2 linked regions of the Schizosaccharomyces pombe genome follow. The gene in region 1 interacts genetically with each later gene. Each region holds a gene or a part of one and is shown on either strand. Other genes may lie near its edges.

Region 1 (4,121 bases):
AAAATGGGAGTGGGTAATGAAAAAGTGGTTTACAGATGCAAGGAATGCCAACTCAGTGTAAGGAATTGTGCAGCGAAGTCAATGCAACTACTGTTATATGTAAAAATAAAAAATCCGAAGTTGACAAAGACAAATAACGATTGCAGGAATTACCAACCGAACAGAATTCAGGTTGTAAGTATATTAAAGTAATGCAGTCAAATTGAGGAACGTAGAGAGAGAGACACACACACACATCCAAAGCAATGGGTTTTCGAAAAGATACGGTAAATATTAATGAGCAGAAAAAAATGATAAAATATTAAATGTAGAAATTCGGCTTAAAAAATCGATAAAAGTGTTGTGTAAAAAAATTATACGAGCCGAAGAGCAGTAAAACTACCGCGTATAAATTGTTGAAAGAGCAATAATCAGTGAACTAAAAAGTCAATCCTCCTTGTAGAATATGTGGAATTGACAAAAAGAAAATTTATAGGTTTGCGGTGTGCAAAGGATAAACAACTAATTGTGGTCTAACCCCGTAGTATAGTATGAAGTGGGGTACTAGTTTTAAGGATTTTCAGTGCAATGAGGAATTTCTCACTAAATAGCAAAATCATAGATATGGGTTTTCAGGTATTTTTGATTTACATTCTTTTACTTTAATTTAATAAAATCTTTTTATCACAGAATAAAGGTTGGACTAATATTCACAAAAGACAAAACATCTGTCTAGTACTTTTTCCGAAATATTATTGCAAAATAGATTTATTAAAAAGAGAAAACGAAAGAAATTTACAATAAAACCAAAAGCTTCTTAAGATGCAGAAGTATAAAAAGGTTGTAATGGCCAGTTTCACCTTTACTTGCTATCCACCAATGCGAAACTGTTCTCACAATTATTGAAATTATCCTAAGCGAAATTTTGACACTTTGGATAACAAAATAGATACTTCCCATTCCATTAATGGATTAAATAGCCAAAAAGAGAAACTCAGTGTAATAATAGTTGGAGTTGGGACATTAAATAATGCACATGATCGTTTAGCCCTGGTAGCATGGACGCATCGAAATCTAATGAAGAATCCCCTTCCAACTTAACTTTATATTTTGATAAAATGTTTTGCGCGTCCTCATCCTTTAAATCAGAATAATTTGCAGGATCCGCTAACCGTAGAATAGCCTTAGCCTCTCCTAAAATCTCTGAGTCCTTGTCGTAAATATCTTTGGAATTTGCCTTTTCGTAAAGATCTTTTAAGTCTATTTGTGTTTTTAGTTAGCAGCGGTTAAAACTAAAGCATTACAACACATGAATGTCTTACCTTTGATGGATCTCGTAAATTCCTTCACCTCAAAAAGCTGTTCTCGAACGGTGTGTCCTGCACTGTTTACCGTTTCGGGAATTATCAATGGACTATCGAATTTCACATTAAAGTCCTGCTCCCAATCTGAATCCGCATCGTCCGCAAATAAATCGCAACGAGATGAAAATCGAATATCCGATGAATCGTTATTTATATGAGTCGTTTGCGTATTGTCTTGAATGATAGGTTCCGACACTTTCGACGACTCTGGCGAAGTAGTCGATAACTCGTCCCAGCAAATACCATCCGAACTCTCATCTTCTTGCGTAGTCGCACCCAAAGAAGTTTCTTGGATTTGCTTAGCTAATTCATTTATCCGAAAGGAATCTGTCTCATTATCATCATGAAGCTCACCTTCAATAAATCCATTAACTGAAGGTAGTTCAGCACCTACACCACTAGCCTTGCTCCCTTTATTGGCCGAATTAAATTCATTACTTAACGCAGTTTTTTTACAGTTGCCTTTGTTTATCTCATTCGCCGTAAAGTGAGACAACGACGTACTGTCTGCACCTGAAGCGTTGCGTTGTACAGTACTTTTTGACTCAACTCCTATGAATGAAAAAATTCGTTTAGAAAATTTTCGGGAGTAACTTCTTAAGCTTTCAAATGCTGAGGGTTTCCTCCATGAGCCTTGATCTATGCATTCGGAGGTGTTAACTTCTTTCGGTAATCCAAGCTGTTTAGGGCGCCTCGGTGTAATATCTGAACCATAACTTTTCATGCCTTTCACATGCCTTCGTTGTAGAGTCACACCTTCAAAAGAATGACCCCTATTCTCTTCGAAAGTATCTGGAACCTCTGCCATATTGACAGAAGAATAGAAATATTCACTTAAATTTTGTTGACTGCCGTATACAACTCCCATTGACGAAATACTCGTAAATCTATATTTCTCTTAAGCTAAATTAAAGAAAGAATTATTGCCGTAGAGAAAAGACTGTACGCGTCAACCCATTCAAGTGTGTAAATAATGGTAGAAGGCACTTTCGTCAAGACCACGCTTTTGTTAGTAAACAAACGGTCGTCATGAGAACGACATAACGAATTTTGAACATGAATCTGTAAATGATTTATAAGGAAATACAAAGTTCTATAACATCAAAGAACGCAATTCGTTATGTTGTTTAAGCGCTATATAATTCTGATAAATACTTTATAACGCGTTAATCGTGGTTACGTTAAATAGGGCTTTGTAAAGATGGAATGCTAGCAGAGATAGACTAGGAAATGGAAAAGACTGTCTATTACAAGTTTTATTCATTAAAAATGTTCAACTTAAAATAAATAAGTTAGCCAAAAACTGAAAAGATGAATGACTCTACAAAGATTCAAAGCCACTGCTCGTTCATGAGCACAATGTTAGCATCAAAAGTTGCTATACGCCTTTCAACTTTCTTTACTTGCTTACGATAAACTCTTCAACTAACTCTGTTGATGCAGGGAAAACATTGTTTTCTTCTTTTCTTTCATTACATTGACTTAAAAGTCAAACTCTTTAAAACTAGTCAAATAATGTTTGCAGTTTAAAGCTACGTTTTTGAGAGCGTAAAGTGATGCAACCTTTAATCTCACAGTTAATATAAACATAGCGAATATAATAGGTTAATGGATCAATGATTAATAATAACTTTTACCTAGCAGAATTGTTTATTACTACAGACCATTTAACTTTTAGCAAAAGGAACTTCCTAATTCCTTACAAAAGTACGACTGGACAGTTACGGTTAACACAAATACGTTAGCTCTGAGCAAAAAAATTAATTCCACAAAGGTATACGCAGTAAATAAAAGTTCAATCCAAAATACAGATTGACATCCTCTATTCACTCATTTAGTTTTACCAAAAAACAAAAAAACGACAAACCTTCTAACCAAACTACAACACATTTATAAAAGTAATCACAGAACAGCTACACGAGGCTCAAAAGAAGAGTAAATATATGTAAATCAACCAAATCCAGCCTTTTATTTTGTGACCTAATGAATAAACAGCGTAGCCGAAAAAAAAAATCCTTTCTCAGCAAACACTAACACGACTCACAAAAAACCATATGGTGAGCAGCTATCAACCGGCACAGATAAAAGAAGCATTAAAAACATGGGCAAAGAAAAGCAGATAAATTAAGTTGCGGGAGGTTTGCCGGGTTGCGAGAAGAGCAATCACGGAGCGTTCCATATCTAGAACAAAGAGAAGAAAGGACTTTTGTATTTTTTAAATCAAGTCAGCAATGTTCATAGGCATTTCCTCAATGTGTGTATTGTAGAATTGTTCAATCTCACGCATCATGCGAACATCGTCGTTGGTAACAAAGTTAATGGAAACACCCTTACGACCGAAACGACCACCACGACCAATACGGTGAATGTAGTTTTCTCTGTTAGCAGGTAAGTCATAGTTGATAACCAAGGAGACTTGTTGGACATCGATACCACGAGCAAGAAGATCGGTGGTGATAAGAATACGAGAAGAACCAGTACGGAACTCATGCATCAAAGTATCACGTTGAGCTTGGTCCATATCACCGTGCATGGAGGAGACGGTAAAATCACGCTCAGTGAGCTGCTCGGTAAGCCAATCGACCTTTCTACGGGTATTACAGAAAATAACGGCTTGAGTAACAGTGACGGTTTCATAAAGATCGCAAAGAGTGTCAAGCTTCCACTCTTCCTTTTCAACGGCAACATAGAATTGCTTGATACCTTCCAAGGTAAGCTCATCTTTCTTAACAAGGATACGAATGGGATCACGCATAAATTTGGTGGTGACTTCCAAAA
Region 2 (4,395 bases), 4.6 Mb from region 1:
CTGTCTGTGTTTATATGGATATGCTAACATTGTTTGGCTTCCCGTTTCTTTAGCAACTCCTCCGTTTGGATTGCTATCTACTTTGGCCTCCCATATTGTCAAATATGTACTTACAGGGATTGGTTTGTTAATTTCCATTGTGTTTTTAACTAGAAATTTATATCCTATCTGTCAGCAAGCCGGATCAAATTTGTGCAAACTTTTATTGTTCGGAATTATCGTCTTTCACTGTTTGCTCGCTTTGTCTCTTCAACTCATATTCTTCAGTTAATATCCTAATTTGTGAGGAGTTTCTTTTATCAGTCGCATTGCTTCATTCGAAAATTATACTATTCCCCTTCTTTCATTCTTTAGAAAAGTCATTCAGCATTTAAGATCCTATTGAGTCTAAGTGTTGGTATACTCTATATGATTCAGTTTATACATATATTCGCTTTACATTTGATTTTCTACTCTTTTTACTATAGCTACTAATGTTCCCTCAATTTACTAGGTTTTTTTTTCAGGTGCAAAATACGTATAAATAATCATTTCTTATGCATTGATGAATCATGCCTTAGTAAAAATAATTGTAGCCTTTTTAGTGAACCAAAGACTTTATGACATTTAGTCATATTTTTGCAATCGATCTCCCGTCATTTATATAGAAAACTTAACACATTATTACTCGTTGTTCAACAAAAAAGAGCTGAAGGTAAATTAATGGTGAAGCTTAACCTGAAAAGTACTTTTACGATTTCAAATTCAGATTTTTTTCAACAAGAGAAAAAAACTTTGTGAGATATTGAAAAAACGTTGAAATTTACGATGCATCACCACAATTTCAAGATTAAAAAGGAACACGTAAAAAGAGAAAAAGAAAAATACTGTGGATAGCAAAGTACATATGTATCGATTCACGGCATACATGAAGGGAGATAAACAAAGCACCCTTTTATCATTAGTCCTAAAAACTTTATTTCTGTCATTAATGGTTAAAATGGTGTGTGTATATAAGAATACAATCTGAAAGAAGAAGGTAAGAAAACTCTTATTCCCGGAAGTTCAATAAAAAAGGAACTATGTTCAGTCTATCCGTAGATCATAAAAACAAACCAAACTCCACATAAGGACATTAGAGCTTAGAGAAAACAAAAAGCTATTGAAACATTAGTAAACAAAAAGTTGATAAGCAAACGTACATTATTAGTAGCGGCGATGGCAACTGAGTCTTCAAAGGGATGCCAACTGGCATGTAATATCTTCTTATTGTAATCCAGGTTATCAGGATCAAGGCCAACAGAAGCAGATCCCATCGCAGCTTGAGGTTGTGACCGCCAATCATTATTTTTCACAGCATTCAACTTTGGAACGTTATTTGCAGCAGATTTTCTGGCTCTAAATGCAGCCTTGTCGGCTTGCAAAACTATCTGTCCTCTATCGCCAGGCAAAGAACTATCTGTGGGGTAAATCCCAAAGTTGTTGCTATAACTTCCTGATAAAACGTGTTTGTCGTCACCAGAAAAGGTACACTCGAATTTATCAAAAATACAGTCATTTTCATAGAGATCGCATAACTTTGATCGCAAAACATCATGCAATGGAATAGTTTTAACGGGAGCTTTTTCCATGTTGACATCCCATATCTTAAGAGTTAAATAATCTCTTGAAAGAATATAGCGGCCATTTTGTGAGAACTTAACGTCTGAAATGCTAGAGATGATTTCAGAAAAGAAACTCTTGGAATCTTGATCTTCTTGATCCTCGAAAAGCTTACATGGATTATCGCAGAGCGCAGATTGACGCAAATCTAAGAGTTTGATATTTCCCTTGCTGCTACTATACATGAGATGATTGCAGTTTATCGGGTGAAACTCGGCACTAGTAATAACTTCCGTAAGTTCTTCCATATTTTCAGGTTTAATGTCAACTATGTTGAATGAATGATCGGAGATGGACAAGTTCCATAAGTTGATACGTAAATCATCAGCGGAAATGTAAGTTTCTGCATCAGAGTTAACGCTAATCGAATTAATATGATATGCGTGTGCATTAGCGTAAACACGTCGTGGATATGCAGCGATAATCATGTCATGATGGTTGAGTCGTGGGAGTCGAAGTTGCGAAGGTGTTGTCAAAGGTCCTTGCATAGGACTGTGGAAACTGTCCGACAAATTATTTTCGGCAACGACTTTCAAATTCTTTTCATATAGTTTCCACAATTTTATAGTTTTATCATTCGTTGAGAGTAAAAAATGCGCTCGATTAGTCCTCTTGCACCAGCGAATTTTATTGATCTTTTCTTCGATTTCTAAGGACTTGAGATAATCAAACTCGGGTTCATGACTTTGAAATTCAGTAAAAAACTTATACTCACAACCCTTTTTCGAATGATTTCGCTCAAAAAGAACGACTCTGCCACCTTTATCGCCGGTTGCTAGATAATCACCTGTGTGGTCGAATTCTACTGCTGAAATGATATCGGCTAAACTTGTTAGTCATTTATTCAGTGATTAAAGTAAAAGAGAACTCTTTTATGAGAGAACTACTCAAAACCAATACCTTCAGTGATGTCTTCCACATCACCCTTGTCACCAAAGCATCTAAAGAGTTAGTCATTAATTTTTTTCACACATCGTTTACATACTGGGCAAATTTCCACTGATCCAAAGAGTCTTCTATATCATCCATCTTCTACTCGTATTATATTAAGATTTCGTTCCCGTTGGTACACTTTGCCAATTTCAATTGTATACGAAGATCTTGATCTTCAAATTTCTAAGGGTATCTCTATACCGTCTTTGGATCTTTTTTCAAAAGTTTTGATACAAAGTTTCCCAGTTTTCACTGGCTTTTTTGGAGGGCTGCTGATTTTCCTAACTTGATGGTTCGTATCAAATGCTGCTACCCTAACGAATCTACACCACTCTTCGGCGAGTCAAAAGCTCAGTAAAATTTTTATCGGTAAATCAAGCCTTAAGCGACTTTAAGTTATTAATGGATTTTTGATAAATACAACACTATTTCATTACTTCAGTGTTCATCTTACGCTTTACTACACATAGGATTTTTTGCTCAACTTTACAAAGTCCAGTGTAAAACTTGTTGGCAATTTCCCATTAATGAAACCTTAATCATTTGTACGCTAAAGAAAGGTGTTTTTGATTATAAAAAACTAGAAGTTCATTGTCATATAAAAGATCCATATTGTTTTTATAGTTTGCAAAATTGAATACAGCAGATAAGTAAATTACAAAAAAATAAGAAACATAACTGGAAAGTAGCAAATATTTTACGAATAACGTATGAATGATTAAATGAATAAACCGTCCTTGATACATTACGATGGCGCTCTACGTAAGCGTTTTACATACTGGTAAACGATACTTAAGTTCCTAAATTTTCTTTTCCTTCTATGTTGCAAAAAACATATGTAAAAGGGAGACTTATTATTTAAAACTTATTTTTCGGTTTCTAAATACTTCTATTATCCCGATTATGTGTCGATTTGGTTCGCCGCAACCAAGACAAACCCAACGTCGATAATTAATTTTATTCCATAAAAAAAAATCTCAATAATCAATGTACGGCATCACTAATTGCATATACTCCATTGATAACTTGATTTCATTACCTAATATACAGTGACACATTAAAAAACGCATCCTTTACCAGTCTTTCCGCTTTTGAGGAGGATGCGGAGGTTCAGAGTGTTTAGGACTAGAACATGTTAGTAATAGAAAGAGAAAGTCAACACTATAATTCTTCAAAAAACTTACTGAGCATCTGGGCAATTAGGGCCTAGCGGACAAAACCCAGCTAAATATTTTGGGCAAGGCCTTGGTTTTCGTACATGTTTGCCTCGACATATAGGTCCTAAAGGACAAAATCCCATATTATACCAGGCACAGACACCAACTTGTTTACTGGGATCCAAATGGAGATATAAACACTCTTCGCCATTAGAACACCAGCCGCGCTCTGCATAAAAGTGACATGGAGGCATCTTTTTTAAATTGTACTCGTGTAAAAAATCACACTGTTCACCTTTTTTACAAAGTCCACGAAGCCTTATATAATATTAGTTATCATGAAGGTAGAAACAAAAACAAATAGAAAAATACATGAAATATATATTCATATTACTCTTCTTTATATATACATACCAATGCTTGCAAACCACGCTACCCATTTTCGATCCAGAATCGCGTCCATTTCCAGAGTTTAGCAAGGCAGACCTTCCGAAATTAAAATTTTGCTTTAAATAGTTATCAAAACGAAATTGAACTGAAGAAAAATCAGCTGCTATAGCTTTATCTTTGATATAATCAGTCATTTTGTAGTAACCAGTAGATGGCGGAGGCAACGTTGTTCAGTTGACTTGAATATCACAAATACTTTATTGACTGGCATTCA

The links. A genetic interaction does not mean that the proteins touch.
Region 2: of etd1 (region 1) and pab1, changing one suppresses a phenotype caused by changing the other (phenotypic suppression), as found in Schizosaccharomyces pombe (3 studies listed by BioGRID, with this or other methods).

What each region holds. Positions count from the first base shown.
Region 1 is NC_003424.3:5,086,179-5,090,299, reverse strand, and holds etd1 (Spg1-binding protein Etd1), read right to left. Parts: upstream 2,322-4,121; 5' UTR 2,212-2,321; coding exon 1,302-2,211; exon of another isoform or gene 1,240-1,301; coding exon 974-1,239; 3' UTR 662-973; downstream 1-661. Other genes in the region: translation initiation factor eIF4A Tif1, read right to left, coding at 3,559-4,121. UniProt on the Schizosaccharomyces pombe protein: Involved in septation.
Region 2 is NC_003424.3:507,022-511,416, forward strand, and holds pab1 (serine/threonine protein phosphatase PP2A regulatory subunit B-55 Pab1), read right to left. Parts: upstream 2,873-4,395; 5' UTR 2,671-2,872; coding exon 2,627-2,670; intron 2,583-2,626; coding exon 2,542-2,582; intron 2,465-2,541; coding exon 1,182-2,464; intron 1,160-1,181; exon of another isoform or gene 1,139-1,159; coding exon 1,115-1,138; 3' UTR 501-1,114; downstream 1-500. Other genes in the region: yip5 (Rab GTPase-binding protein), read left to right, coding at 1-271; cleavage and polyadenylation specificity factor complex subunit Yth1, read right to left, coding at 3,648-3,699, 3,759-4,049, 4,146-4,315. UniProt on the Schizosaccharomyces pombe protein: Phosphatase 2A affects a variety of biological processes in the cell such as transcription, cell cycle progression and cellular morphogenesis, and provides an initial identification of critical substrates for this phosphatase.